3 linked regions of the Coturnix japonica genome follow. The protein of the gene in region 2 purifies or fractionates together with the protein of the main gene of each other region. This does not show direct contact. Links are inferred from orthologs where the notes say so. Each region holds a gene or a part of one and is shown on either strand. Other genes may lie near its edges.

The links.
Region 1: the proteins of ANAPC13 (region 2) and CDC27 purify together in Homo sapiens (affinity purification with mass spectrometry; 5 studies listed by BioGRID and IntAct, counting the BioPlex papers as one, with this or other methods). This does not show direct contact. The link is inferred for Coturnix japonica from reciprocal best matches to the Homo sapiens genes ANAPC13 and CDC27.
Region 3: the proteins of ANAPC13 (region 2) and ANAPC7 purify together in Homo sapiens (affinity purification with mass spectrometry; 3 studies listed by BioGRID and IntAct, counting the BioPlex papers as one, with this or other methods). This does not show direct contact. The link is inferred for Coturnix japonica from reciprocal best matches to the Homo sapiens genes ANAPC13 and ANAPC7.

The regions. Positions count from the first base shown.
Region 1 is NC_029542.1:2,301,532-2,312,469, reverse strand, and holds the end of CDC27 (cell division cycle protein 27 homolog), read right to left. Parts: intron 10,059-10,938; coding exon 9,886-10,058; intron 9,256-9,885; coding exon 9,103-9,255; intron 8,317-9,102; coding exon 8,108-8,316; intron 7,898-8,107; coding exon 7,780-7,897; intron 7,407-7,779; coding exon 7,278-7,406; intron 6,803-7,277; coding exon 6,728-6,802; intron 5,838-6,727; coding exon 5,657-5,837; intron 4,976-5,656; coding exon 4,893-4,975; 3' UTR 3,579-4,892; downstream 1-3,578. UniProt on the Homo sapiens protein: Component of the anaphase promoting complex/cyclosome (APC/C), a cell cycle-regulated E3 ubiquitin ligase that controls progression through mitosis and the G1 phase of the cell cycle.
Region 2 is NC_029524.1:2,640,367-2,651,292, reverse strand, and holds ANAPC13 (anaphase-promoting complex subunit 13), read left to right. Parts: upstream 1-6,423; 5' UTR 6,424-6,534; coding exon 6,535-6,633; intron 6,634-7,565; coding exon 7,566-7,691; 3' UTR 7,692-7,803; downstream 7,804-10,926. Other genes in the region: CEP63 (centrosomal protein of 63 kDa), read right to left, coding at 497-610, 1,480-1,605, 3,672-3,767, 4,494-4,674, 6,102-6,145; LIPH (lipase member H), read left to right, coding at 9,244-9,295. UniProt on the Homo sapiens protein: Component of the anaphase promoting complex/cyclosome (APC/C), a cell cycle-regulated E3 ubiquitin ligase that controls progression through mitosis and the G1 phase of the cell cycle.
Region 3 is NC_029530.1:4,519,181-4,529,205, forward strand, and holds the end of ANAPC7 (anaphase-promoting complex subunit 7), read left to right. Parts: intron 1-313; coding exon 314-500; intron 501-1,124; coding exon 1,125-1,244; intron 1,245-1,751; coding exon 1,752-1,863; intron 1,864-2,090; coding exon 2,091-2,244; intron 2,245-2,350; coding exon 2,351-2,493; intron 2,494-2,590; coding exon 2,591-2,708; intron 2,709-3,112; coding exon 3,113-3,309; intron 3,310-3,885; coding exon 3,886-4,110; intron 4,111-4,507; coding exon 4,508-4,658; intron 4,659-5,156; coding exon 5,157-5,346; 3' UTR 5,347-6,815; downstream 6,816-10,025. UniProt on the Homo sapiens protein: Component of the anaphase promoting complex/cyclosome (APC/C), a cell cycle-regulated E3 ubiquitin ligase that controls progression through mitosis and the G1 phase of the cell cycle.

The sequences.
Region 1 (10,938 bases), on a different chromosome or scaffold from region 2:
CCGGACGGCACAGCCGGCATTGGGGGCAGCCGGCATTGGGGCACACGGCGTTGGGGCAGGTTCCGCTGTCGGCCCTGAGCGTCCCCCCGACCCCGCGCGGATTGAGCCGTACCTGGCAGCCCATGTCGGCGGGGCCCATGGTCCGGGCGGTCACCGCTCTTCAAGTTACCGACGAAGCGCGGCCGGGAGGAGCCGGGAGATGATCCGGGAGCTGCGGGGAGAAGCGGCCGCGCTCAGCGGAAGGGACCGTTGGCCCCGCACCGACCCCGCAGCCCAGGCCCGTCCCGAGGGCGCAGCGGGGCCCGAGCTGTTGCGATGCGATGCGATGCGATGCGGGGGGACCGTCGCAGCCCCGGGCCTCCTTCACGCCCCGCCGTCCATCCGTCCGCCCCCCCCAGGCCCGGGATGTGCCCTCGCTCCCCGTGGCCGCAATTCAGGCCCTGTCGGACGGACCCCCCGCCCCGCACCGACCCCCCCCGCAGCGCTGAGCCCACCCCGCGCCCTACGGCCCCTCCTGTCCCGCCCCCCCCCCCCGTTCCACGTTCTCCCTCCCAGCCGCGGCCCGCAACACGCAGCCCAAGTTGCGGGACGAGGCGGGACGAGGCGGGACGAGGCCGGACCCCCCGCGCACCCCCCGTGTCCCGCATCACCTCCGACCCCGACCCCCCCCCATCCCGACCCGGCCGTCCCGCACCGGCAGCGCCTCGCCCGCACCTACCTGCGCCGCTCAACCAGCCTTGAAGTGGGGACCTTCCGCCCTCCCCCGTCCCCATTGGCCGACAGCGGGGCATGCGCCCGTCCCATTGGTCCGCGCCGCGTCAATCAGCGCCGAGGGGGCGGGGCCGGGCGGTGATTGATGCGGGGCCGCCACTCGCCCCCCGCTGCGGGGCCGGGACCCCCGAGGGCGCCCCCGCCCGGAGCCCAACACGCAGCACCCGCCCCGCACCGCAACCCGCCCCGCGACACGGGACAACGCGAACCTCGGCCCGGGGGGTCCCGGCCTTCACACAACGAGGGGCGGCCCGGAGCCGGGCGGGGGGCGCGGGGCAGCGCGGGGCAGCGGGTGCGGGGGGTCGCGGTGGTGCCGCCCTGTGCGGGGCGCGGTGCGGAGGGAGCAGCGGCACCGGGCTGTGTGCGCCGAGTGTCCCGCAGGGCTGCGGCCGGCCCCGGTGTGCGGTGACAGCTGGGCCCCGCACCGGGATGACGCCGGGTCCCGCATGGCCGGGAGCTCCAGCCCCGCGTCCCGCACGCAGCGCCGCGTCCCGCAGCCGGAGCCAGGCCCGTGTCCCAGCGCGGGGTGCACCAGGCCTGTGAATGAAGCTGGTGGCACAGCCGGGTCCTATGGGTGACACCCAGCCCTTATAGGGCACAGGGGGCACCGCAAACAGCCCACGGGTGGCACCAAACCCACGGCCCGCAGCTGACAGCAGCACACACAGCACAGGGGACACTGCGCCCACATCCCACCAGTGACCACGGGGCTGTAACCCCACTGGGGCCACAAAGCCTGTGTCCTATAGGTGACAGCAGGCCCAAAGCACACTAAGTCCTCATATAACAGGGACATAAAGCCCAGCAACCCCCTGGTGACACCACAGCCATCCCCCATAGGGATACACTACGCCAGTGTGTGTACACACTACGCTGTGGTGTAAGTGACACCACAATCATATCCTATAGGAGACACTGTGCCCATCTTGCAGGAAATACACCATGCCCAAATCCTATCCACATCCCATAGGTGACATCAGGTACATTTCCCATATGTAACTATGGGACACCCCCAGGATGCAGCAGAAATGGAGGATGAGCTCAGAGTGGGGCTGAGGACAGAGCACGGCAATGGCTGTGACAATAAGCACGGGATGAAGGGCAGCTCCAACCTGCACAGCCCTATGGGCAGCCAGCATCACGCTGCTCCTCCTCCCAAGGGCTCTCACAGCCTCCATGCTCAGTGAGTTAAAGCCAAGCTCAGCCTCACAATGTGGGCTGGAGAATGAAGCTGGATGTTGGTGGGTATTCCCAGAGCAGCCAGCCCTGCAAGCAGAGCAGGACACATTAAAGCTCACCTGCTTCCAACCCTGCACCACACATTGGTTGCCCACTCCCAGCTCAGGGTGCCCAGAGCCCATCCATGGCTGTGGGCACCTTCATTTCTGCTGTAGGCAACATCAGGGACTGATGGATTCCATAAACCAGGGGAGACTTTGAGCTGATACAACAGCTGAAGGTGGTCAGAAAGGAACATACAGCTCCAGGAACTGAGCTGTGGTTAAAGAGGGGCCATTTCTGAGCCCTCCCCTATTTGCACCATGAGGGTGTTTGAAATCAAACCCCTAATACTGATGGAGGGGCAGGAAGCAGAGAGCAGCATTAAGTGCCCACCGAGGCAGCATGAAGAGCACAAAGCTGTCTGTGCCCATAAAGCACCAAGAGGATTCCTGAGCTGGGAGCCCTGCGATGCTGCCCAGCCCTAACACAGTGCATGGCACTGCAGGGTGGGGGGGGGATTGCAGCACACGTTGCTTTTCCCTTTACTTCACTGCTGGGAAACGTGCAGCCCCAGCAGCACAAGGTACAGAGGAAGCATCAGGAGCAGAAGAGTGAAGGGCAGGGCTGAGAAATACAGAAATGAAAGGGAGGAGGGCTCAAATTCAATGCAACCCCAACAGCCAAAGGCAGAAAGGAGACAGATGGGGCTGCTGTAACAAACTGAGTGCCAACAGCTTTAAGGATAACAGAACTGAGACCCTTCCTGCAGCACCCAGCACTCACAGCTGCCCTTATTGAGGAGTATTGAGGTGCTGGGAGGGCTCACACAGCCCACAACAGAAAACCTGCAGCCCCAGCTCAGGACACAGCAGCTCATAGGGGCAGAAAGCTGCTAAATCTGCTTCCAACTTCAGGTTCTTCTATAAAAGCCCATTTTAAAGGTATGATGTACACATAAACATGGGGACAGATGCAAGTATTGAATCTTCAGTGAGTATCCAGCACCCCAGCTGAGTTCATGACTGTTGTGTAACTGTTCTCAATGGCCACAGGAGGGAAGGAGCCCCCTGGCTTCCTAAGCCTCAGGTCAAAACAAGCAGCAATTCCTGGGGGAAGTCAGAGCAGCAGCAGAGGATGGAAAGGAGATGAACCAAGCAAGGTGCTGCTCTGGGAGCTGGAAGCACTCGGTGTTCCTTCCCATACACAGGGAAAGACTCACCTGCTGCAGCTGAGGAGCTCCTGGGGATGAAGCTCATTATTTCTGCTTAGAAAATGGGTTGGGAACCAAAAGACTCCATCCATTGTGGCAGGGCAGATGCAGGCACTGCCTCCATCAGTGGAGGGGGGGGTGTTTATTCTTCACCTTTCAGGACCTTCACAATGCTGGGGATGCTCAGCTCACTTTCCTCTGCTTGTCCAAGAACACAAAGGCTGCACTTTGGGTTATTTCTCATGCAATAAATGTGTCCCTATGACTCACAACAGCAAGGAGCTGTGATGGAGCACAGTGCAATGCTATGGTTTAATGCACAGAGAGAAACCCTTCACAAGACAGCAACAAAAAGATCAAGGCTGACACCAACAAGTTATGTTGCTATGAAATTTATATCATTCCCAATTTATTATGCATAAATCGCTCTTTAAAACTGCTTTTATCATACACTTTCTTTATCATCACTGCATAAAGGGCACCAATTGTTGCTGCAAAACACTACAGAGAAAGGTCGTTTTGGACTCAGTGTGGCACAGCTTTCTTCACACAGAAACAGCCTCAGGGAGGAGGGAAGGGGTCTATAATCCTATAGAGAGAAAGCGATTCCGAGGACCTCAAAGAACAGCTTAAAACAAACCCAAAACCACAGAGAACTGCACATCTCTGCACTCCGCTTGGACCACACGTTACAAAACTGGTTTAAAAAGGATCCGATCTGAGGCAATTGTTACCTGATGCATTCGACTGTAAGGTTCTGATTTTGCATTAAGGCTTCTGGTCTTCCCCATGGATTGGTTCAGCAGCAGGCAGTCACTGCAGGGAAAGGGCTCGGTGGATCCACGTTAAGTCGTATCTGCATTTCTCTCTCTTGGTTTTGCCCCTTTATTAATGTTTATTTTCACACCGGGAAGAACAACTCAAGGGGGTGTATGAAAAAACAAATGGAGCAATGCACCGCTGACTTGTTTAACGTACAAAGTAAAGACATCTTAGAAACTAGGTGAATAAATTAAGTCTCTGTTAAGGACATGAAAGTTCTCCGTGAAAGCTGTGATTCTGCACTGTGATTCTCTTGCTACGTCCCCATCCCTGCAGGTTTGCACTCTAAGAGGGACACAGGGTGCTGTTACATGGTCTGACAGCCCCAGCCCTGAGCACACACGCTCTGTTTGTTCACTGGAGATGCTGCAGCTTTAAGGTCATTTACATTCCCTGGCATTTAAGTTACACTACAATATGCAAAAGTCTTTAACAGCATTTGTCAACACTGTCCTCAAAGAACTCGGAAATGAAGTTCAGCACTCTGCTCACCAAGAAAGAACCAAACTAAGACACACTTCTGGGAAAGGAACAAGACACCGCTTCATTAGTACTGCCCCCACATCTACTGGCTTCGTTACAGCAACCCGCACGTCTCTTCCATGATATTTTTTCCAGCAAAGGGGAGTCCAAAATAAACCAAAAACCCAGCATTTCCTCCTTATAAGAGCCAACAAGTCAACCTCAGCAGCAGCCAAATATTGCACTGCCATTAATTCTGTGCACAGTCTGAGCGGTGAACTCATGGTGTCAGTGGAGAATTCATGACAATGCTGGCTCAGTGATGTGAAGACCCAGGACGCAAAGGAAAGGGAGAACACAACAGTACCAGTCACACACTCAAGCCCACATGTTGGCTTTTTGGAGGTTAAAATTCATCGCTTTCAACTGCATGGAGCTGTGTGTCATCTGCATCCGTCATGCTGCTCTCTTGGGATTCGTCTGTGCCAACTTGGAAAAAGAAACAGAACACAAAATTGGTCAAAACTTGACTACAGTTCCTGCACAGCCAACTGCAGCACAGCAGCAACATGTTGGTACCTCATCAATGTGAAACTGAGCTCCTGCCTTCATCCCCCTCCCTCAAAAGGCTTAAGGAGCCATAAGGTCTTTTCATTGCAATAAGGTGACCCCCCGCTAGCTTAATACAGTTGAAATAAATGCATTTAGAAAGGAATTGGGATCACAAAATACAAAAACCTGCAGTCTCCTTCACTTAACAGATGCTCGCTCCTGTTACCCACCACATCAATGCACTGTGATTGTGATCACTTATGATCCAAACGTACACCTTTTATTTCAGTTATATTTATAGGACAGATTAAGTCACGGGGCTTCCCCCAACCTCCCACCCTCTGCTCCATCATTTGACTGCCACTGAAGTTCCAGTACTCTGTCTCCATCTTCTGGTGACTCAGCCCACAAAGTGCACCAGCCTTACATGCAGATTATATGCAGGTAATCCAACCTCAACAGCAAGAGGAAAGCCTGGCACATCAGGAAGTGCAGTGCAGCTCCCCATATTGAAAGCACAGTGGGACAAGACCACTAGGAATTACTATGATATACACCCTAACAGCTTTTCCAGGTGAAGATTTAGGGATGCAGAACACGCATATGCAAAATACAAACCTGATTCATAGGGATAACATTCACTGATTTGCTCTTCTTGAGTTATTGGTTCCTCGTCATCTGGAAGGTAACGTTTATCGATAGCCTCTTTAATTTGGTTGTTGGCTCCTTTGGGATCTAAGTCCATCGCCCAGGAGAAATTCATTAGGGCCAAATGGGTTTGCCCCAGCTTTTTATAAACCTAAAATAAAAGCATGAAATGCTACGTTTACAAGGTGCTGTGTGAAAGGTTGGACAACAAACACAATAAGTCACAGTTAACTAACACATATGAGAAGCAGTAGAGTAGATTCAAACATTTATTACACAAGTCCAGAGGGAAACAGCAAAAGCATGTAGAAAAAGTGCATGAGTGTTTCTGCCTAAGTGCCCAAATTTAAATGAAGTGATCAAATGAAATTAGCAGCCAACAGATTCAAGAACATAAGGAAGTGGTTCTTCAGATGTAATTTAAGCCTCGGAACTCCTACAGCCTCATTAAGATTTCCCACTTCCCAAACTGATACAGAAGGATATCGCCTTCTGTAACCCACTTGCAAAGGCCATCAGCTGAAACAGACACGGAGGAGTAAAAGCACCCCACAGACACTTACTCAGCACTTCTGATGCAATATTAATACATTTATACATTTGAGCATGGTTCAACACTTTCACATCTCCAGGCCCAAATAACCAACACAGATGACTGATAGTCAGCCTAGCCCTGAAAGCTGTTCTAACTACTGCAACCTCTTTGCAGTTAAAGATCTCAATAAAGATCCATTTCTTGCTTTCTAAAATGAATTCCTCTGAGACAACAGATGTAAAAGAAGACAACAGGAGCTTGGGTTATCTTTTCTTGGGTGGTTATAAAAATAGCTTGAGGTTGCTCCAGTCTTTTAAGGCTGAAAGCTGTTACGTTGGAGAGCTGTGAGATTATATGCAGCAAGTCTTATTGAAGGCTCTGTGAATTTTACAATGCTGCCCCAAATGTAAACAGCTTGGCAACAGGCTTCAAGTTTCCTCATTAAGCAGACGTTTCTGCAATGAAGGAAAACAAAGTGCTTACAAACACAGTGAAATTTCACCTACCTTTCCTATTAAGAAGTAAACAAGAGACTCTTTGGGAACAATCTGCTTCAGTTCTTCAAGTTCTTGCAAAGCAGACTGAAAAGGAAGAAAAAAAATAAGCACAAGCTGGCAACCAGCAGCCAGTTATTGCATTGCTGAACTGCAACTCAGAGCTGATGCAAACCTCGCAACTGACATACAGCACACTCCACCACAAACAACAGTACGGCCTCATCAGAAGCACCTCAAGTTTCTTTTACATTAGTTTCTCCTTTAATGGCTATAGAATGTTATGGCCCAATTATTACAAGCACAGAATAAATACGCTGGGCTTTGGTCTCCTATAATAACATCTAATTTTTTTTCTCCTGCTCACAGGTATCCTCTGCTTTTGACTTTTAATCTCCTGCTCAGTGAAGGTGGCACTTCTTGAAACAAATGCTTTATTAGCTGCTCTGCCTCAGGCTCTTCCTACTCATGCTTCAAGCCTTAATGCTTATCACTGCATCCCCATCCGCTGCTGTAGCAAGTAACAGATAATCTAAGGTTGTCTACGTGCATCAAATCTTACCTTGTATTTCTCATTTGCAAACAGTACAGAAGCTCTATGGAATTTGCATAGTGGGTTCTTGGGGTCGATGTTAATTGCTTTGTTTAGAGTATCCAAAGCCTTTTCAGATTTTTTCAGTGCGTGTTGGACCTGTAACAGAACAGGAATAAAATCTCAAAAGGGGAAAAGAATAAAGTAAATTTGACTGGTGCTGCTACGTTTACTTACAACCTGTTCCTACTGAGTCTTAAAGAAACCAAGCTTTCTCACAGGTAAGCCTATGCTATCAGGTTGAGTCAGTAAGCCATTTCAACACTGGCTAAAAGCAACTGGGGGGAGGGAGAAAAGAGGATTTATTTTCTGACACAATCCCACGGTTATTCATTCATGCAATAAGATCCTCTAATAGATCCTCTGAACTTTGTTTTGTTTGTTTTTGCACTTCAAGTTCAGGAAGGTTGCAGGTAAAGGGCAGAGGCAAATCAGAACATAACAAGGAGAGAGCTGAGCGCAATCTACTTACTACTCCAATGTGACACAGTAAGACTGAGCTCTGAGGATTGATATCAAGTGCTTTCTGGAAATGCATTTCTGCTAAACTGAATTTCTCCTGTTTGTAATAAATCATTCCCAACCCATACCTGCAAAAAGGAAAAACAGTTCCATTAATAAGAGTGCATCTTAAATAAACTAATTGTCATCAGCAAATATGGACTGGTAGAAGTGGCACATATTTAGAAATGACTCAATGACAGAAAAGTCTCACAAAATTCACAGCAGCGTTTGCAGCTTATTCCTCCCAAAGGTGCTCCATATCACATACAGCAGAAGGGGGATGAAGCAAGACTTACCATGCATTGTAGTGCCTGGAGTTGACTCTGATTGCATTCCTAAAACAAGCTAATGCCTTGTCTAGCTCTTCTGTTAACACAAATTCATGCCCCAAAAGGGTGTAGGCGTAAGCATAGTTTGGATCAACTTGAATGGCTCTCTGGAAGAACTTGATTGCAATGTCATGCTCTCGTTGCAAGCTGAAGCAGTTCCCTGCAGCACACCATGCCTAATAAAAAACAGCATTCTAAGTTAGAAGTGTCATTTCACAACCTGCAGAATGACCAAGTCTGAGCTAAACAGATCTTCTGTCACTGATCTATGCAATTATGTCACTTGCTACTAGATTATAAACAACAGTTTTAACAGTACTGACCAGTTGCTTCACTAAGTCCTCCTTCCTCTAGTACAAAATAGAATGACCTGAATAGGTTCATCTCCAGCAGAAAATCCCAACAGACTCCACAGCTTCCCCCACTCTGTCAAGAGCAGATTTATATCCCCTCCACACACATACATACTTATTATTGGGGCACATGTCAGCTTGCTTGCATGTCATGTGCATGTTATAATACCAGCTCAACGGACTTCAGCATAAAAATATTTTCAAGCAGCGTTGTACAAGTTGTGCAGGAAATATGAGTGCCAGTGAATTACAGCAGTTAGAAGATAATATGAGAAAAAACATCCCTTATCTTTACATGTGGGCATCAGCAGGGACAATTGATCAACCCATGATCTTCCTGGATTAACAATGTCAATACAGATTCAAATCACCATTAATAGATTAAAGGTTCACAACGTGTCCCATATAAGCTGATATTCTAACGCCAAGCAGCCATTTCAGGCATCATCAGCTCAACAGGCAAATCCTGCCACCTCCCTCTCCAGTTTCACCTCATATTTCTCAAGTGAGAATGAAATCCTAATCCAGCTCCAGTCCAAGTTCTGTTCCCTGTCACTGTCTGTGCCGCACACAGTTACTCATCTCACTGAGCACCACAGCATTTTGTACCTCTGGTGAGTTTTTATCCATGTCTGTTAAATCCTTTGAAAGAACTGACAGAGCAACATCTTTCTGCAGATGCCACAGCGTAGTTGAATAGATCTCCATGCCTTCTACTCTGTAGTTTTCAATCCTCCTCACTTCTGAAAATATCCTTTCAGCCTAAGAAAGGAAATGAGAAATCAAACAACAGCAATTCCACCCACTCAAACAGAGCACACAGATCAAAGTTAGAAGCCTCATATGTCCAGAATGAGAATTCTTTGCTATGCAAACATGAGGCAGAGCTACAAGTCCTGTTGTATTTTTATCTTCCCCACCAAAGGAAATGACTGCACTCCAATACAGTTAGACCAAGCAGAATTCCAGCTGCCCTCCCTGCTTGTGACTCCTGCAGGAAACAAGCACAACAACTGTCAGGGCAACAGAGAGAATAAGAGCTGAACGGCTGGATTCATCTTAGCTGCTTTTTTCTGTTGTGAAGCAGTTTGCTATCACCTCAGCTGCAAAGGGAACCAGGTCATCAATGGATCTCCATTAACTAAATAAGGGGGGGGAGAAGAACACCTGGTTTTGGAACCTGAATTGTTTCAGTGATTATTTACAGCACTGCAGTACAAACAGCTGCATCAGCCCAAGTGAGGGTGAAGATGGAGAAAGGCAAAGGGAGACTCCCAGGACTGGATGCAAGAGGAAGTAACTTCAGCATTAAAAGAAATCTGAAGCACAACTCAACTTCAGGAAACAACGACTGCTGACACAGACTCAAAACCAACCACAGGCAGTTCCTACCTGCATGTATTCTGCAAGTTCAAAGTAAGCTCTCCCAATCTGGCACAGCACCCAGCCAGTGTTGTAGTGGTGAGATGGCAAATGGCTTAAAATATTTATCGCTTCTTTGCAGTTGTATGAGCACAGGGCTAAATAACCTTTCCCCATGTCACGAAGAAGGCTCATCAAACCTTCTAGGAGAAAAATACAATAAGTAAAAATGGAAAAAACTGCTGAAATTCATTTACTTGAAACAGCTAATCCTCATAAGCTTCACACTGTGGCACTGCTCCTAATTTTGCATATGAATATCTTCCAAGAGTCCTTAAGCAGGCTTATCCACTCTTAATTCACAACACAACATTCTAAACAGCAGTGGAAGTCAGGTGTTGACAACTTCTCAAGCCAGCAACAGAACACTCAGGAACAGAGAAATGGTGACGCTCAGGAGAAGTGGATTTCTGCACTTACACCAACAACTCAAACTTATTTTTTTTTAGGTCTCAGTTTCCACATGTCTGGTATCCATGGACACATCTGCTCGCTGCCTGGAAACTTTATGGAGCCAAAAGAGAGGAATTCAATAGCTTGTCTAGGATTTTCTGTCAAACTGGACAAAGATTTGTGCTTAAATAGGAAACCGCAAGGGAGAATAGACAACACAAATCTAATTTTAAGATAATTGAATTACTCATAACTCCTTTGAATCAGTTTCCAGGGTTCCTGCCTGAAAACATCTTAAACACTCATAAGAACCAGAGTCAGATACGTTTGCTCACTGTTTTTTTCATCCTATTATTTCATTAGTTCTCTGTAAGTTACATTGAGTTCAGTGTACTCCAACTATCTTGATAATTACAGAAGAGCTGCAGGTTGACTGAAATGATACACATAACTAAAGCAATTTTCCCCTCCGTCTAGACTAGAGGGAGCTTATAAGCAGGAGGGAGAACGACTTTTCACACAGCAGACAGTGCTAGGACAAAGGGGGATGGCTTTAATCTAAGAGGGGAGATTTAAGCCAGATGTGAGGGGGAAATTCTTTACGAGGGTGGTGATGCCCTGACACTGCTG
Region 2 (10,926 bases):
CTGTAGGAGATGAAAAAGAAAGGGAAGGAACAGGTCTGAAAAATGTTGTTTCTTCTTCACTTGGTGGAAGTATCTGCCGTTGGGGAAGGCTGCTTTTCAACCCCATGCTCTGAGCTGGATGCAGAAGGTACATATTTAGCTATTGGCAGGTAAACAGCTTCAAACTAAACGACCTGATGGAGCAGCTGCTTTCAAACATCGTTTGCTGTGGTCTCTGGCTCTCAGGGAAAGCTTCGTCCTACGGTCTTCTCTGCTAATTGGAGCGGGGGAGTGAGAGCAGCAAGAGGTTTACCTAACTTCTGTTGACAGACTCTGGATCTTTTTTCCACTCAGCACTCAGACACGTAAAGCTTATTCCACTGGGACATTAAAAGTCATTTCAATGGCAACCTAAACTGGATTCAAGCCTGAGAGATTTCATTAGTCTCTTCCCCCCTCCCTGCCCTCCCACCTGCTGCACAACAGAACAGAAACTTTCAACACGTATTAACCATACCTGAATGAGCTCGGACTGCTCAGCCAAAGCCTTCCTCTGTGCTTCCAGAGATGCCACCTGCTGCTGGTAGAGCAAACGCTGCTTCTCCCAGTCAAGTGATTTTTGACGGAACTCCTGCAAGGACAGCAGGGTTGGCTCAGAGCAACACATCCACACAGCTGACAAGATTTGCCCCCTCCCAGCTCATACCCATGTTTTCTCTCCCTCCCCACCACATCCTCACGCTCCTTCCCCCACAGCAGGGAAACCATTAACCAGCCATCTGATGCACCAACTCAGCAGCACAAAACCCCTCTCACACTGTGCTCGCTGCGTTCCCCTCTCCCTCCCAGCTGAAAATATCAGTGTCAATTATTGCTGTTTACAAACGTTAAGTGCTAAAAGGCTCACAGCTCATCACGTGGATTTGCTGTCAGAGGTTTAGCAACACGGACTGACTTTAGCTTGCAAAACAGGCCCTCCCTGGAATCGTTGGCAACCGCTAACTGCAGAGCTCTAATGCTATCCTCAGCTCCAGCAATTGGATGCTACATCTTATCCATGCCTCTGTTAGCCTTGTCTAGAGGGTACACTGGGGAAAAGCAGAGCATGGTAAAACCCAGCACAGCAGAGATTGAGACATGGCTGAGAAGAAGTTTCATTTGTAGCTCCTCCTCCCTCCAAGAAGTGAGATGACAACCTCACCACACGGGCTTTCATTTCACTCACACAATTAATTACTCTTCCAGCACTTTCTTCCTTTTACTCAACTGCAGAATAAGATCTTCAAAATAGTTTACCCTGCGTACTTAGAGGCCTCGGTGCAGGAAACAGTCTTTATTACACAAGCAATCGAGAAGAGCTTCATTAAGAGAGTAGATGGAGAGTACATCTGAACCAGGATTCACAGTGCCCTTCCTAGTTGTCTGAATAGAGTCACCAGTGAAGCCCGAAAGGCAGTTCATCCATAAGAACCAATTAGCAGCTGCTTCCCCATGGCCCACCTCCAGCTTCCTGCTCAGTCGGCTCATTTCAACCTGGTCATCCCCTTGCCTCTTGTTGGCTTCTTCTCTTGCCTCTCTCAGCTGTTTCTTCTGCAGCTTCTCGTAGCTTCTCTTCAGCCTGGCCAACTGCAAGAATTCAGCAAGAGGGGCAACTTTGTTCAAGGCCAGCGGGCAGGAATTAAATAGCACATTGAAGGAAGGCAAACAAAATAGCTTCACGCAAACAATTCCCCCAATCAAGGCCACACAGCTTGCAAATGAAGATTTCTATTTGTATAATGAGCCTATTATACTGATAGGATCACAAAATACGCTGAGTGGTATAAGAGGAGCAGGATGCCACGCTTAAGTCGTGACATCAGCAGCTCCAATTAGACCTCTGTCTTATCACAATGAGAGCATGACTGAAATATCGATCAGATGGAGGTCTATATGTAGCTGTTAACATGGCACCTCCTCTCTCTACAGGCAGCCCCAGGACTCTGTAACAGCAGAAGAACCTGAGGTCCATCTCCTGGTGCCAACCACAGGGACAGTTCTACATTCTTAGAGGTTAAAGTGAAGCTCAGGTGAGGAGTGGAACTCTCCCGCTCGGCAGGAGGAGGAAGATTAGAGAACTGCCATTATACATAACATCAACACTACTTCATCTGTCATCCTCTGCTCAGATACACGACGTACTTCACAATAACTGGAAAATGCCAACAGAAAATAACACTCCTACGCCTACTGCTTGAATGCTGAACTCTTATCAGAAGCAAAAGTGAGGAGAAAACTGCTGACATTTAAGTGACCCTCTGTGCAAATCACCACTCGCAACTTGCACAGATTTCTCCATCTGATGAGCTCCCCAACTCAAGCATTTAAACAAGTTTCCAAATGGTCCCTATGAACCTCAGAAGACATCATTCCCGATTTGGGAACCCATGGAGAACTTATATCTGAATCAAGACCCCATGATTCGGATCCACACAGTGGTCAGGAAAGGTTCTCCAGGGTCCTGAGTCAGGAAGGTGCTTAAGCACATTCATTGAGAATGTGTTTTGCCAAATGAGTCAGCAGATTCCAAGCACTGGTTTATCCTTTCAGCAACCTCCATGAGGTGGACACTGTACCTGTAATTTTACTGGTGATGGTGGTAAACTGAGATAAAATCTATCTACCCAAACAGTACTAAAACAGACTAAGGAACACTGCAGCTTAATGCCATCTACATGGGTAAAACACCAGTGCAGTGCAGTTTTAACCACAAGACACACACTATATTCTAGCCATTGCAATATAGCCTGATCTGGCCAAAGCACCTTAGCCTTGCTCTGCAGCCTATCCACTATTTCAGCTGGAACATCTCCTGCTAATCACACTGAGCAGTAAGGTGTTGTAAATGAGGACAGATGCCTTCTGTCACCAAAGCTGAGGCTACCAAATTAATTTAAGTTATGGCTCACAGTGAGCATCAACCAAGCTGAACTCTCCGGGGAGAAAAGGTCAGTGCTCTGCTGGCTGCTCATGCCACTTAACTCAATGCTTCTGACAAGCAAGTGGAGACAGGCAGAACAAAGGCACCAACATGGAATGCTGCTGTTCCACCTGCAGGACACTGTGTGTGTACCACCCTGCATTGAACAAGGAGCTTGTCGAGATGGAAGCTCTGAAATCACTTCTTGCAAACTGATATGGTTTGAGAGAACACAGGTCCCGTCAAATAAAATCAGACTCAGTGGAAGCAAAATGATGATGAGGCTGCGTACTGATCTGATCTCAGTTTCTCCATACAATCAAGGCCGGTTCCACCACCACCCATTTTAATTTAAGGAAGTGCTGAAGGAGCAAACTGCTGCTGCCTGTACCCATAGCAACTTCCATATGAGGGCTGTGGTGACTATGATTGGCAAATACAGGAAGATTTTGCACTAAAACTCTGCAGATGTTTAACTCATGGAAATTGCAGCTTAGAACATGTTCTTATTCCTGCAGATTTCTTTGTCACCACGTTCCCCTGATGTGCCCAAAAGAGGGCCAGCAAAGCACAAAAACATCACTCTGAGCTCAGTGCTCTCTTCTGTAAGAGAAGAGAATGGGAAGCTTTAAAACCATGGCACTTAAGCAATGGCAATGATGCCAAACATTTCACCTACCTGGTCACATATCAACAGGGAATTAAAAACCGACCTTCTCCTTTTGAAACTCACCTCCTCTTGAAACTTCTTCAGCTGCTGCTCATATTCCCTAACCAAGTCCTGTTTGGCTGCTTCAGTGTCTTCCAGCTGCTGCCGCAACTTGCCAACCTGAACCAAGAATTACAAAGCAGATGAACTGAGACAGAGCACACTGTCAGCAAACAGAGGGATTAGTCTTCATTTCATAAGTATACACAGTAGTGGAAGTGGCAAAGGAATGTTAAGAGATCCCAGTTTTCTAAGCTGGGGTCAGTCCTTTTGAAACAAATTAAGCTTATGTCCACATCTCTGGTTGGATGGGATGAGAACAGTCTCAGATTTGGCCTCGTGTTTTCAAGCTGTGTCTGCCTTCCGCTGGCTGAGATGAAGCTGACACTTTTGCCTTGTGACAATGTCATTTTCATGTTCATTATAAGTATCCATTATGATTTCAAACTATCTATTAAGGGAAGAGATGGCAGTGCCATCCTCTTACCCCAGTGGGATGAAGCAGAGATGTCAAATAACACATGGACAAAGAAAGAAGCAGTGCTTTGAAACTCTTGGGAAAGGTTTCCCTTCTCTTGATCCAGATCTTCCCATTCCTCTTCCTTTCTCCCCTGACTCTTTTCCCTTTTCCCATCCACAATCACCTTCCTAACTGCAGGTCCAGAACACAGTGGGCCAATAAACAGGATTGGCGACCCTGCTCATAGCAGAGGGGTTGGAACTGGATGAGCATCGTGGGCCTTTGCAACCCAGGCCATTCTGTGATTCTACGAAACAGCAGAAAAAACTCAACTGAAATCTGATGAAACAAACAGAAACGCAGATCCACATTCAGCCTTTACGTACCTCTTTATGCTTTTCCTCCAGTGCAGCCCTGGCAGAGGAAAGTTCCTGCTCTCGAACACCCAAACAAGCTTCCAGAGCCTGGGTCTGTCCTTCCCATTCTGCCTTCTTGTGAGCCACCATGATGTCGATCTGCTTCATCAGCTCCTGCAGCTCAGCTTCGCAGGATGTCAGGAACCCACTGCTGGAAGGGACAGAGCTTCAGGTCACAAAGAGGAGCACAGAGGTCCCACATCCCCACAGTAGTGACACCAGTGACACCAGTGATTGGTGCGGAACATCGCTGGGCAGAGACCTAAACTTGGCAGTGACTAATGGGGCATGCTTTGGAAACCCCAGTCAGAGCACATGCAGTGTGTTTTGTTTTCTAATGTCACAGCAAGCCCCTATGACCACTGGTCCCTTTATCTTGGTACTACGCATTACCTAAATAAACCACAACTTATTCTGCCCATACTTTGCATTTCCCCTTAATGCTCTTTTATACCCCCTTTCAGTCACCAGAGAAACCTCTCAGCTCCCGAAAACAAAAGCATATCACAAATGCAGACAAACCCCTACGTTGGTTGGATGACAACATGATAATGAAGAATAAAACATCCCCAACCCATTGGGGAAAGCACGCTCCCTGGCGATGCCGCAGCTTCTAATTTGTGCAGTAATTATTGAAGCCAATTCAACCAAGCCCTGTAAAACTTCACAAGTGCTAAGCTAAGGACGGTATGAAGGCTTGCAAGATACAGCCCTGGAGGGCTGTGAACTCCATGATCATCTTCACCCATTTAATTTGACTGTCAAATGGAAGGCTCTGAAAAGGAACGGAAATCAATAGGTGAAGGGATTGAAATTTCCCTGCTCCCCCAGAGCATACATACCCAGCCTTCACAAGCTGACAGATCTTCTATAGGGAAAGAAGTAGCTCTCAGAGCAGCCAAAAGCAGTTAAATTGGATGTTCACCCCGGCCTGCGAGTTACCCAAAAATTAGCAGCTATTATGCACAGCAAGAACACCTCCTGCTCAGCATCTGCTGATACACAGCTATGTCTAGACTGCATTTATACAACCAGTTAACTGCAAAAGATACAGCACTGAGTCACCTCCTCAAAGACGGCAATGGAAATGGTGTCAGTGCCTTTAGTTTTGTGTTTGTTTGATAAATGAAGCCTTGTTATTCCATCTCCAAGCCCACAAGCCTTCACCTAAGGGTTCCTCAGGGTGTCTGCAGCTCCAGCACAAGCAGGAAGTAATCAGGTGCTCTCAGCATGTCTCATTAACCTCACCGGGCTCTTAAGAAAAGGATTTACTCACTCTTCTACTTAGCACCGCACTGCAAGGCAGGAGGGGGCTTTTTAAAGGGGAAAACAAAGGGATAACGTTCTTAGAGAGGCAAAATACAGACTGCAAGGCGCTGAGGGACCGCTGCAAAGTGCCGAAGCAGCCACGTCGCTGTGCGCTGCATCCATCCGCCTGCAGAAGGTACCGAGGGTCTCATTGACACCATGGGAGCTTGGCAGAAGAGTGGCAAGGAGCGTTAAGAGGGAAGCCCCGCGGTGAGGCTGTTGTAAAGGCCGGGCACACAGCGGTGCATACATACATACGTACATACATACCTCCCCTGGCCATTCCTCTGCATGCCTGCCAGCAGAGCCTCCATCACCCAGCGCCGGCGGGGTCAGCAGGGGGGAAACCACGCAAAGCAGCGGCCACCGCATCCACGGGCAGCGGGAGGGGAAAGGTGGGGGAAATAGAGGGGCAGCAGGAAGGGCAGAGACACGAAGTGACGGGGCAGAGAAATGGTTGGTTGTACGGAACAAGAAGGTACCGCACAGTGAGCGGACCGCACCGACCGCACCGAGCCCACCCGCAGGGCGCTGCCGGCCGGGGAGGGGAAGGAACGGAGGCGGCGGCGGGTGATGACGGTACAGCGGGCGCCGGAACATCGCTGCGGGATGGGGCGGAGCGCTGCCGGCAGAACCGAGCGCGTTGGGGCCGCTCGAGTCCCCGCGGGACGGGGCTGGTACGGAGCTACCTCGGAGGGTGAGGATGGACAGCGAGGTGCAGCGGGACGGCCGCATCCTGGACCTGATCGATGACGCGTGGAGGGAGGACAAGCTGCCGTACGAGGACGTGGCCATCCCGCTGGTAGGTGGAGCACAGAGCCACATCCAGCCCGGCCTTGAATGCCTGCAGGGATGAGGCATCCACTGCCTCCTTGGGCAACATGTTCAGTGCGTCACCACCCTCTGGGTGAGGATCCTCCCCTTCCCTGTTCGCACAGGTGTAAGCCGGCCAAAATCACGGCATCTGATAATGCCTGCAAAGAGACATTGCCAAATTGCAGTGACATCATTCAGCCCTTACAGCACAGTGTGGCATCACTCTTGGAAGAAGAGCAGCTCCTTCTCAGCAGAGGAGGCAGGAAGCAGCTGCCCTCCTCCAAAACCAATAATAACCAATGCAGCAACACGGGGAGCAAATAACACGAGGAAGTCAAATGAAATCGCATTTAAACTCTCCTTCCTCCCCCCTGCATGCTGAGCAGCTTGGTGTTGTATCTCCTGTTGTTACAGCACAGCCACAGCAGAGCTCCACATGCAGCAAGAGGAAGGATTTCTCACCTTGCCATAAGAAAGCGATATGTTACAAAGCCAGCTGTCTTAATAGAGCTACGGTAAATGCAGTATCTGTATTCTGGGCAGCAACAAAGAACCACAATCTAAACAAGCAATGGAATAATTGCACCGTGTTATTATTTACTTATTTTGCATTTTCTCTATATTCTCCTTCACTGCGTGTGCAGTCTGAGTACATAGCAAGGCCCCGGGGCCCTGGAAAGCCAATTTACCTTTCAGATGAAGCATCATAATCATATGAAAAGCACATTGTTCCTCCCTGGGCTCAGTAATATTTTAACTGAATCTGGATGTATGATATGTATTGTTCAGATGCCCCCTCCAGTCTCATTTGTGGATTTTTTTGTATTTATTCATAGGAAGTCTTCGTCACCAGCTCCTTTTTAGGCAGCTTGTTATGCACTGAATGCATTGTACCTTTTTTCTTCTTGTCGTTCTCAGAATGAGCTCCCTGAACCAGAGCAAGACAATGGAGGCACAACTGAGTCTGTGAAAGAGCAAGAAATGAAGTGGACGGATTTATCTCTGCAGTATCTCCATGAAAACGTCCCTCCCACAGGAAACTGATGAATCCGGGGGCATTTCACGACAAATTCTCTGTTAACTTATTCTTTACTTGGTGCCAATTCTGTTCTTAAGTGTTTTCTACACATGATAAAAAATGTGTTTTTTCACCATCTGGAGTTGTTCTTATATGTCAAAACTGGGGATGGGATGTTTGTGACCGTGGAGGTTTATGTCCCAAGAGGTATAACTGTGTTTTGTGTTAGAGTTCGCTGCCAGTGCTGACCACTGTATATTTACACGTTGTTTAAATGGTGCGATTTGTGCTCAAATGATGGTTACTCAAAATCCCTATTGGCTGAGCACGTTGGATGTTCTGTGAGGACATGGGCGCTGAGTAGGAGGATGCTTGGTTTGAGTGGCTGGGGCAGCCCCTGCCTGAGGAGTCAGCAGTGCCTGCTCTGAGCCAGCAGTGAGCTCATCTGAACAAGAAGGAGCTGCATGCAGCCAGCAGGCTGCTCAGGATTAACCCAAGCTTCATATGTACAGTATAGACCTTAGAAACAGCTACGCTGCTGGGAACTGTAATAGTTCAGCTCCTCGCTGTATCTCAGCAGGGGGCAAAACAGAGCTTGGGCTTAATGAGGTATTTCTGATCCTCCCCATGTTCCCTCTCCCTGCAAAGAAAACACTAGAAGCTGCGTGGTGGCTTTGTGTACCCAGCAGCCGTCTCTGTTCTCTCTTCCCTTCCCCTCTCTCACTCCATCACAGGCTCCATCCCCATCACACCAATTTTGCCACAGGATTTTCCAGCTCCAATTTCAGGCTTCCTTTCCCAGCCCTGATGGTTGTCTGTGCATCTGCCCACTTCTTACTGTCTAGCAAGGGGGGAAAAAAAGCCTTTCTCGCTTGAATTGGAGCTGAATTCACAAGGTTCCAGCAGGGCTATAAGAAAACATGGTGGGGATATGTCAGATGTGTGAGTGCTGTCCAAAACAGCAGCTCCTTGGCAGCACGTATTGAGTTGAACTGGGAACGTTGTCAGGACAAAGTGGTGCCCATCCAAATCATGAAGGACCTCACAGGTTAAAAGGGATGCTGGGCTTCCACCTGCTGGAGACAGACAGAGCGTGGGAGAACCAGAGGAACACGGATGGGAGTGTCCCAATGCTACCAATGTGGGTCCTGGGAAGCTGAGTGCTGGCCCTGCCCAGATACCGATCGGCTTTGCACACCTACGTCCTTCACTCCCTTTTGACACTCTTAGCAGAAGACGAACAGGCAGGCAGTAATTTCAACACAGGTAGTCAAAGTGCTGCTTACAGCGTGATACTGAACCGTTCCTGCCTTTGATTAGTCACAGCCCTGGGCAAACAATCTTTAAAACAAGGGATCCTGCTACAAGAGAAGGTGCCCCACCTTTTGAGAAAGAAGAGCTGGTTGTATAACTTCAGCCCCATCTTTATTTCTTGGCTGGGAACTTCCTCCTTTCACCACACCTACATTACTGGAAGAAAAAGACAGCAAACTGTTGTCAGAGGCAGCGAATACGTGCCAAAGAAACCGCGGGATCCGTAAGATTTTCTACCTCTACAAGTTCCATGTGGGAGCCCATATGCTGAGGCTGTGTGTCACGTTCCTCTGCCTTTTGTATGGGGTGAAAACAGGTAGGAAGTCAATTGCTTTGATTTTTTTGTTCAATATAATGCTTACTCTGCTTTGCAGAAGCATAAACCTATCTGCCCTCTGCGTTATAAGGTTACTGTGTAGGGTTTTTAACTAGCATTGTCTCTCTTAAAGCAAACTGTCTTGGTTTCATGAACTAAAGAAGACATGAAGCCAGAAGTCATTTGTATGATCTCTTCTTCACTTTGCAAACATTCCTCTTATATAAGCAGCATCCATCGACACTGAAAAACGTCATCTGAAATCTTGAGAGCAGACTGATTTCTTTTCAGCGGCGCGTTACATGACAGCCACAAAGGATGAATTAGCATTTATGAACGCTAAACTTCACTTGGTATCCTCGTGGCCCCATCAAGAATCAACCTGTTTAATAAGCAACAAATGTGCTGCCTTCTGTTAGCGCACTCATGGGAGCGCGTCGCTTGCTTTGTGAAGCTGCAGCTCTATTCTTTGCAGGGGGAAACAAACAGGGTTTAGAACAATGCAAAGGATTCTCACAAAGGCTGAGATCTCATCAGGTTCCCTGGGGCAGCCTTGGAGGTCTCCTTTTGCTTATTGTGATGAATACACTGTAGGAAACATAGTAATAAGTGGGAGGTACTGAAGGCCATTTTAAGAGGTGGAGGGCAGACCCTTCGTGTGGAAAACATGGAAGTAACTCAGCAATGCTGGTAAGATTTGCTGTGTGGCAGTGCTCAATGATGACCACGTTAGTGCTGATGCATAAGGTTCTCTTGAAACAAATGGCACATCCCAGACAAGGTCATGGTGCTTTGGAAGTCAGGGATGCTGCAGACTGCCATGGGAGCCCATTGGTTGGAGGTCTGCAGAAGCTGCTGGGCAGTGAGCAGCCCTTTGGTGGGCTCTGTGAGCAATGTGGTCTCTCAAGGCTCACCAGGGCAGCCATAGATCTGACAGATGAGGCGATGATGAGGAGGAAACCTTTTGGACCTTCACTTTGCAAGAGGCCAAAATAGAGATGCCGTTCTTTCTGTGCAGAAAGATGAGGACCTTCCTGTCCATAGGATGAACACCCGAGACAAAAGGAAGGGAGAGTCTCCAAACACCATTTCCAAGGAATTAATGAGAGAGCCCAGGAGGATGCAAGCCTTACGTGGCACTGACTGCAGTGACTGCTGCAGGGTCTGCCCAGCACCATTCTCATGGCTGCAGCACTCCCCCCTGCTCCTGGTCTCCATAAGCCAGCTGTGCTGAAGATGCCCCTCTCAGGTACATCTGAGAGGTTGATCTCATCTCATGCTCAAGGCAGAAGATGTCCAGCTCCAACATAGGAACACCAAAGCAGATTTGCCATCCTGTGCTTATCAGGAGGAGGAATGAATGCAGGATCCCCAGCTGCCCTCATGTGTCAGCTCCTGTGACACACAGCCATGCAGCAGGGAGAAGCTGGCAGGCTTTGCCCCTCTATCAGCACTCATCTGATCTCGTTAATGAAAAGAGAACAAATTGAACAGACTTGGTGCAGATATAACAATGCTTTTTAAACTCAGGGATTAGCAAATCCTGAGCAGCTCTTTAATAGCCCTTCTTTGGCAGAAGGTTTGGGTTGCTCTGGTGCCAACCAAGTGCTCCCCAGGGCAAGTCACAGCAC
Region 3 (10,025 bases), on a different chromosome or scaffold from region 2:
GGCTCCCCCAGTGGAGATACAACAATTTCTTCCCTTACCAACGGTGCCCCGTGTACATCACAACGCTTCCCTCACTCTCGCGGTTCCGGTTGTTTTTCAGAGCTTTCCTGAATCGTTTTGGGTGGTTTTATGAGGTAGTAGAGCCACAATCCCATTCTGAAATCCTTACATTTCAGCACAGCTCCTCACAGTGCTGCTATCCATGTAGTAAAGCAGCAGTAACAGCTCAAAGTTGAAGCTGGATGAACATCTTGTAGTCTGTCCTTGTTTCTCAGGCTATTAGGCAATCTCAGCCTGTCTGTATCTTTCCTAGGGAGCTGTTTTCACCATCTCAGAAGTACCAACTCCTCGTGTACCACGCAGACTCTCTTTTCCACGACAAAGAATATAGAAATGCCGTGAGCAAGTATACGATGGCTTTGCAGCAGAAGAAAGCATTGAGTAAAACCTCCAAAGTGAGGCCTTCTACTGGGAACGCTGCATCAACTCCTCAGAGCCAGGTATTTAAACACTAACTGATGTGCTGCATGTAACTATTGTGCATCCCCCTCTGCTTCAGAGCATGTTGGAGTTTCAATATTGTGTTAGACCACAGACTGCTTGTATGTTTGAAGTGTAATTCATGGTTTTGGAAGAGATGAGCAATGTAAGCTATCAGTAAGCTACATTTTTACCTTTCTTGCACTGGGTATTTTTAATCTATGCTAAGCATTAAACGAGACCATATTAATGTAACAACTATGATGTTGTTGCAATGCTATAATGCTATAACGTAATGGAAAGCACAGCAATAGCAGGGTGGCATAATTCTAGGCCGCAGCAAATGAAAACAAGCCCTGATACAGTAGCTGTGAATACAGAAACAAAGGAAGAAAATCTGCTTACCTTTAGAAGGTCTCTAGTATGCAGGCTGCTAGTGTAATACTTCCACCTTCACTGCCAACCCTTAAATAAGGGCTAGGAAGAGCTGGGTCCTTGCTCCACCCCTTCCAGTTACTCAGATACATTGTCTGCACCTGAGCTTCCCTGGGTTGGTCCTTCCCACCAGCTGCTCCATCACTGTTTCAGTCTGTGACATAACATTTCCACTACAGTTGGCCTTCAATAGTTGTATTTCATTTCAGTGTTTACCGTCTGAAATTGAAGTAAAATATAAAATGGCTGAATGTTACACCATGCTGAAGCAAGATAAAGATGCTATTGCCATTCTGGATGGGATTCCTTCCAGACAGAGGACCCCAAAGGTTTGTTCTGGCAGATGTTTGTCATCGGTGCTTGCTCAGAAGGTAGAAAAAAAGGTTGAGGAAAGCAAACTTAATCTATATACACTAGAATGTAGCAGGACTCAGCTAGTTGGACTGCACAGAGCTTAAATTGTTTCTGTTCTTTTATCACTGATTACAATTTAAAAGCTAAAAAGAAACATTTCATGCCTTCCTTCTCTTGAGAGCTTCCATTGATAGAAGAAATGAACTGAAAGAAGATTAGTGCAGTGGATGTACAGGTTCTTCTTGTCATACTTAAAACACTTGTCCATTTTTGGATGTCACAATGCTGGGGTTTCCAGTTGTACTATGTAAATAAAAAGATGTACATTTTACATTTGGACTCAAGAGTCAATATTAATTTTATAATACATACATAGTAGGTTATAGTGATCTCTACTCAGAACGGAAGGGAGGGACGGCATGCTGGAGGGAGGGCAAAGTTGTGACCTTTTCTTAGTGAGGACTCCTTTCTAATACTTGCAGATCAATATGATGCTGGCAAATCTATACAAGAAAGCAGGTCAAGAACGCTCCTCTGTTACAAGCTACAAGGAAGTACTGAGGCAGTGCCCGTTAGCACTTGATGCCATACTAGGTAGGTTTCTCCACGCTGTTAAGTACATCAATCCTAAGAAGCATTATAATTTGAAGCATGGTTGGGACTAGGTAATTGACTGCCATCTCTAGGTAATATCTGATGCAGATGTATTTAATGCAAACTATAAATTCGTGACAAATTGTTTGTGCTTCCTTGTCTTCAGATAATTTGTAGCAACGGTGATTGAAATTGTTCTGTATGATTTTGAATACCTCTGTGAACAGGTTTGCTGTCGCTGTCAGTGAAGGGTGCAGAAGTGGCCTCTATGACAATAAATATCATTCAGAGCATTCCAAACTTGGACTGGCTTTCAGTGTGGATCAAGGCATATGCGTTTGTGCATACTGGAGATAACACTAGAGCCATCAATACAATTTGGTAAGATTTGGAAGAGTGTGATGTAATCAAATGCCATAAAATATTTCTTCAATGACATTTTATAATATCATTACACATTAACAACAGCAATTTGTTTCTCTTAAAGCTCTTTAGAGAAAAAGTCACTGCTGAGGGATAATGTAGATCTACTGGGGAGCTTAGCAGACCTGTATTTCAGAGCTGGAGATAATAAAAACTCTATTCTAAAATTTGAACAAGCTCAAATGCTGGATCCTTACCTAATAAAAGGTGAGTAAATCATAGTGGAAAATTTACCTAGTATAATGTTCTGCTAAATTAAGTTAGAGTAGCAAGCAAATATTGTCTCTCAAACTTTTCACTGTAGGAATGGATGTGTATGGCTATTTGTTGGCACGGGAAGGTCGACTGGAGGATGTAGAAAACTTAGGCTGCCGTCTCTTCAATATTTCAGATCAACACGCAGAACCCTGGGTAGTGTCTGGGTAAGATGCTCTCTTTCCTTTCTTACCCTTGATTTGCTGAGTGTAGTCCATTACAGCTGATAGAGTGAGATCAGCTTTTTTGTCCTGTTTTGGAAGTAACTTGAACTAGTCAGGAGTACCTATTTTGGTTGGTTTCTTTAAGACTAAACTGGTTTGAATGACTAAACCTTTGCAATAGCAATGATGTGTTAAATAGCTGTGATGGTTAATGGTGTTCTCTTGTTTGTTTGTTTTCCAGAGGTGTTTGGGGAGGTGTTTGTTTGTTTGTTTTTACACAAACTTTTATTTTTAACTTAAAATGTAGAAGGTTCAGCAGTTACTTGTAACCTGTTCCTTCCCTCTTTTAAGTCTCTGTGAGTGTACACAGGCAGTACATGTTTACAATCCATCTTGTCTTTCCATAGGTGTCATAGTTTTTATAGTAAACGATACTCCCGTGCCTTATATTTAGGAGCCAAAGCTATCCAGCTTAATAGCAACAGTGTTCAAGCTCTGTTGCTGAAGGGAGCTGCCCTCAGGAATATGGGCCGAGTACAGGAAGCAATCATACACTTCCGTGAAGCGATACGTCTTGCACCTTGCAGGTTGGATTGCTATGAGGGTGAGTGAAACAAAGCTCCTCAGACTGCATTGGTGCAGTGTTAACGGCTCTTATTGAGAAAGAATAGACAAGCTCTTTTCCCCTGTTGACTTTCTAACATGTAAAGTTATTTTTACCCAAAAAACTATAGTGCTGGTAGAAGTAGTCAGACAGGAGATACTAGAGAATGCATGTGTTTATAAGAAGCATTTTCAAATTGTTTGTTTTTAAGTGGTTTAATCTGAGTGTAAACAGACCCGGGTGTTTTGAGCAGATCAGTTTTGGATGATGACATTCAGTGTATGGTTAGTCATACCAGGAGCCTCATTTTGACATACTGTCTCCTAAGCATGAGCAGAGTTTGATGGTAAATAGTTAAGGAGAAATACTTGGGGGGAGTATGCATTTTTTTGTGGAGTTAAAAGTTCTCTTAGCAGAATAAAACCCTCAATATTAAATAAAAATGGACAATAGTGCTTCCAACATACTGTATATTGGCAGTCTTAGGAATTGCTTGTAGAATATTTCAACTGCTGGCAACAGGTATCATCTGGATATACCAAATGAAACTGAAACGCTTTTCTTTCTTATTATCAGGTCTCATTGAATGTTACCTGGCATCTAACAGTATCCGGGAAGCTATGGTTATGGCAAATAACGTGTATAAAACTCTGGGAGCAAATGCACAGACGCTCACTCTGTTAGCAACAGTCTGCCTTGAAGACCCAGTCACACAGGAGAAAGCAAAAACATTACTGGACAAAGCACTGACACAAAGACCTGATTACATTAAAGCTGTGGTAAAGAAAGCAGAACTTCTTAGTAAGTTTCTTTTTTCATGTCAGCTTTCTTAAAACTTACTCTTTCATATACAGGAGCGTTCTGTGGCCTCATCAGTGCAAATAACATGACAGGGATGTTGCACCACAGGGATCTGTCAGTTCTGTTTGGAAGGAAAAAGCATGGGAATTAATTATACCTAGCAACTGACGTTATGGCAGCACTTAAAGCCACTGTATACAAAATGTTTTGCATTCAAAGTATATGATGTGTTAATGTGTGTAGCAGTTATTGCTTACAAAAAGCGTATTGCTGCCATCCTTCATGCCAACAGCTCCAAGAGAAGAAATGCTTTTGTGTTGTGGTAGCCCTTGGAGTACAGTCTGCTTACACAGTTATCTAAACTATTAATTAAAACTGTAGTTTTGCAAATAAACAGGTAGAGAGCAGAAGTATGAAGATGGAATTGCTTTGCTGAGGAATGCACTGGCTAATCAGAGTGACTGTGTTCTGCATCGAATACTGGGAGACTTCCTTGTAGCTGTCAATGAGTACCAGGAAGCAATGGACCAGTACAGTATTGCCCTAAGGTAAGCATGAGGGCTGAGACTGTATCGTACACATAGAATTGAATAACCAACCAAGTAAAAAATTGAGTGCCAGGGCACTGGTTGATTAGGGCATGCATCAAGGGTAGCTTCACATCATTCTTCCTCAAAGCAGACAAACGTATACATCGCATTCTGATAATGAATTAGTTGGTCACAGGGCTTTGTGCCAAGGAGTGCAAAATATAGGGATTGTATTAACTGCAGACACATTGCTGGACATGGAGTTCCTTGGCTACTGAAGTGATTGAGGCATGGATGTATTTATAACTAATAATTATACAGGCAGGATTCTTGGGAGCTGTTCCATTAGAGCAGGAGATGATATATAAACAGGAGCTACTGTGTAAATTTAAATAGGTAATAAAGAACCATGATGTTACCTTCTGAAGTTAAATGTTTCTATATTTGTGACATTACCATAAAGATAAGAAAAATAAGTCTTAAGGCAATACTTACTTTTCTTCTCTTTCCCCTCAGCTTGGATCCAAATGATCAGAAGTCACTAGAAGGAATGCAGAAAATGGAAAAAGAGGAAAGTCCAACAGATGCAACCCAGGAAGAAGATGTGGATGATATGGAGGGAAGTGGAGAAGAGGGGGACTTGGAAGGCAGTGACAGTGAGGCAGCCCAGTGGGCAGATCAAGAGCAGTGGTTTGGCATGCAGTGATGGCTGCTCTCCCCAGTGCTTGATTTGGCACATGAGAACATCAGTAGGGCCATTCCTTTCTGAACTCTGATCTTTGCAGGAACTGAAGACTCTTTTTTATCTTTTTTTTTTTTTTTTTTTTTAATTTAATAGAACTATTAAATGGTTTCAGTCTATGCATCTCAGTGCCATGAAGATTCTTGATGCTTCTTATTTATTAAGCATAAGAGATTAACTGCAGTTAATCAAACCAAAAGCATTAGAATCTAAGGTTTCTGTAAGCCTGCTGTTTATGATGAAAGCTGTCGTGTTGAGGGCTAAGTGTGCTTTATCAATTTGTAAATAGTATTTTGGTATATGCCTTTGTAAAAAAGGTCTTCTTCCCTTGTTTGTAAGCAGCGATTTGGGCTCACACTCCTGATGAAGTCTGGAGGAGTCACTTGGCTGTGGCTGAAAGCAGCACTTCTTACTCGCTGTGTTGGTTTAATTACTGTCTTTTTACAAGGCATTGCATGTGGTGTAAAGAAGTTTGGCACCCCAGGCAGCTTTGAGCTAGAGGACACTTTTGTAGCTGATTGATTTCTATGTGTACAGAGTCAAACCAGCCCTTATTAAACCTTATAATCTGTCTGTACATAAACATTTTTAAATGCAGTTGAGTTTTACTTCAGTGTGTTACTAAAGGCTTTTACAGCAGTGACTCAAAGCACTTCATGTTCTGCATACAGGAGGTATAAGAATTCATCCTATTCCACTTGCTTCTCTGCAAAAACGTACAAATATATATCAGCTTGTTTTTGTCATATATATACTTTTTGTCAGATAGTATTTGAATTCACGTTATCATTTCAACACCATCTCTTTGAGGGTGATCTTTGTTTCAGTTCTGTGGGCTCAGTGTGTAGGAGGAGGAATTACTTTGTGCTGTTACATTTCTTACCATTCTGTTTTCCTTACTATTTCCTTAAACATCTCTTTACATTGCCAGTTTAATCTCTTTCACATTTATCCTGTACCCGCAGTTATGCTGGAGCAGATGGACCTTAATGCAGGGCTAAAAAGCAGTTCAGCATAGCAGCTAACAGAGGAATACCTACTTGTACAAATACCTGACACAGAGAACAGGCGTCCCCTAGCTGTAGAAGTACAGCACCAATAAGGGTAAAAGCTCTTCTGTGATGTGCTATATGAATTACAAGAACACACAGCAGATCAATCCTCTTACAGACCGTTATTGAAGTACCTCGCTATGTCACATTCTTAGAAAGGAAACTAGTATTTTAGCACTTAAAAACAAGCAGAAGAGCTGAGTATCTCTTCTCTCTGGAATCCTGAGGGCTTTAAACTTTCCAAAGTATTAAATGGAGTTCTGCTTGGTTGAAGATTCTGTGGGAGGAACAGAAAAGCCCATGCTGCTGTCTTGGTGGTTGAACTGGCATAAGTTGTGACTGCTCTGTAATTAAATAAACACACTGAACAGCTTCATTTCAGTTACAGTGCACATTCTGCTAATTGCATTCTGGTTTATGAGGGAGCAGAACCTATTTTAAAATGAAGAACTTAACTATTTACAGCCTTGCTCTGTGATGCAGTGAACAGCTTTCAGCTCATTGCCTATTTCTTTGTAATAGAAAGAAATACAGATTTACAGACAAATTGAAACCAGCTCTTTTTTCCCCCCTCAGGATACAATCTGATGAAAGCTCGAGCCTATGTCCAACAGATAGGTAGGGTCAGCAGCTTCCTAGGTGATGCTTCAACCATTCCTACTGGATTGAAGAATGGACTTCTTAATATTAAGAACTAATATGTGACGAGAGAAATGAATGAGGTACGTGGTACATAGTTTATGAGCTGTTCAGCCATTTTGTTTTACTATTCCTTTAAATCCATCACAAGCTGCAGGTGAAAACCACTGGTCTCGAGCATTTCTCTGAAACAATGTTTGCGTAGAACAGGAAACCTGAGAACCACAGCTTTACTGAATCACCACATAGAGTCTGTTGATTGTCTGATAAAGTGAAGCTGAGAGTGCTGTTCAAAAACAAAACCACAAAATGTCGCTGTGCTTATGTGTAACCAAGTTCAGGTACACCTAAGAACACCTTAAGAGAGCTGTCAAAATGCAGTTGTATCCCTTAGTGTTGTGTTCTTGCTGCTTAGTTTTTCTCAGAACTTTGCTAAATGTTTCAGTCAACACATAGACCAGTACTGTCATGTGATGGAAAGCAAAGGGATAATAGAAGGGTGGCCCAACCCCAGGCTGCAGCAAGTGAAAACAAGCCCAAAGGCAGCAACTGTGGACACAGACAAAAACTTCTTACCTCAAAGGGACCTCCAGTAGGCAGAGATGTCCAGAAAGGTACCCTCACCTCCACTGCCAACCCTTAAATGAGGGCTGGGAAGGGCTGGATCCTGGCTCCACCTCTTCCACTCACTCAGGTACATTGCATGCAGCTGAGCACCCCTGGGTTGGCCCTGGTTCTCCCAGGTGTTCCATCACTGCTTCAAGCTGTGACTTAGCATTTCTGCTACAAGTACCTACAGAAATATTTGCATTATGGTTATGTAGCTTGTTACAGTATTTACAATTAAAGACAGTGCAAGGGACTGAGGAACTTCAATGTGATATGTGCTGAATGCATTTGATATTATATACATAGATGTACTTTGCACCAGCTTCAGAAATCCAAAGGGATTCTTGTATGCCAATGAGCCTTCATTAATGCTTTAATTTTAGAATATCATCTCTGGATTTGCATAGATTTTGTGCTCTTCAATTCATTTACTGGTTTTCTAGTTTAGGGACCAGAACAATTAGTCCCTAATAAGCAGTTGACCTCATTCTGCCCATCAGTTGTAGTGCACTAAAGCTAAAAGCAGATGTTCACATCTGTTCCATCTGTGATGTAAACTCCCAGAAGTGAAGCACTTCTTAGGTGACACCAAAAAGCAATTGACATCCAGTTGTATTCTGCAGCTCATGCTGTTCTGGGTTGTGTAAGGAGAAAGGAACTGTGTGCTTGAAATCCTGACAGCCGTGTTTGACTTTGAAATCACAGATGTCATTAGCAGGCCTTGAATTCTGTCCTGCTTCATGAACAGAAAGATACAGAAGTGAGGTCAGTGGACAGTTTGTACAAACATAAGGCCCTTATATAGACTTGGATGGGCTAAAAGTCTTAATTTACTAGAATCTAAAAGCATTGATGTGGCTACCAAACATCTACCCTTTTCAGGAGCTCAGTGATGCAGAAATTGATCCGTCCAAGACAAAGGCGAGGAATATTTTTTACTCAGCAAACCCTGCCTTAAAATCTGTATGTCAGGAACCGCACTGCTACTGTTAGATCCCCAGACCTTCTGCACGCAGCAATATTTTGACAGGATGACAAAGAGAAAGAAGGAAAAGGAAACTGATCTCCAAACTGGTTCAGTCGTTTGCCTCTGCCGGGTGATGGTTCAGAGCAGAGAAGCAGTTTTAAACGGAGGCTTTTGCAATGTAAACATCTGTCAGTGACCCGCCGCAGTGAAAACTTCCCCTGCACATTCCACGCAGAGCATTAAACAACCATTAGCATTAAGGTTAGCAAAGCATGCGTGCGGCTCTAGACAGTAAGTGAAAACAGACTATTCTTTCTATTTTGCATCAATGGTGGTGAACGTGGACTGGCCAAACAGCTTCACTTGATACACAGACACAGGAAATCATTACATTGAAATTTCCTGCATCAACAGTTTACGGTTCATTGAGGTGTTTCACCACAGCCTTAAGCCTCAGCTCCAACTCATCAGTTCCACATCACAGTCCTCAGCCCCCTCCTCCTTGACATGGCCTTTTGCAGGGCCAGCAAACATATCAAGGCTTTAAAAATAGAGAGTAGCATTAGAAACAAACAAGACACGAAGGGAAAAAGTTTTGCAGAGTTAGAAAGTTAAAGTCGGATGGGAAAGGAGTATGAATGTTGCTGGAGGAAGCTGAGGAATCAGTTCCTGTGTGAGACATACGTAGCTGCAACGTTGTCACATAACTTGGGATTGCAATAGCAGACTTAACCCTACAGGTTTCCTTACAGCTCGGATCCCAGGGTCACATCTCACAGGAGGGGCAAAGGACTTCAGAAGTTCGGACATCAGTTTGCTTTTCTTCTCTCTCTTTGTCATCCTGTCAAAATACTGATGCATGCAGAGGGTTTCTAACAGTAGCAGTGTGGTTCCTGGCATACAGGTTTTACATATTTAACCTCTACCCCTTCACAGACAGCACCATTTCTTAAGGGAGATCAGATGACATCTGCTGATGTGGCAGTCCTGCTCTGTGTCCTGCCTGCACGATGCTGGACCAGTGTGTGGCACAGCAGGAAACTGTCCTTGCATTCTGAAATCTGCCTTTGGACACTTCAGCTGGCCTTTATTTCAGCTGTCAGCTGTGTGTGTCAGAGCACAGCGAGCCTCAGAGTGCTTGTCCAGAGGAAAAGGGAGGGGGAAAAGCCCACATCCTGAGAGCTGGTTTGGATTTCTAACATATTTACAGAGAACAGAAAGTCCAATTACATCCAAGTCTCCTGACAGGCGGGCAGCAGCAGCACGCTTTGCTTCCCTCATGGGGGGTTTGGTGACTTGGAACAACTCCTACTTGGGCTCCCAGGGCTGGGAGAGCTCAGCCGTTGGCAGAGGGTGATGCTTATACTGGCAGTTGA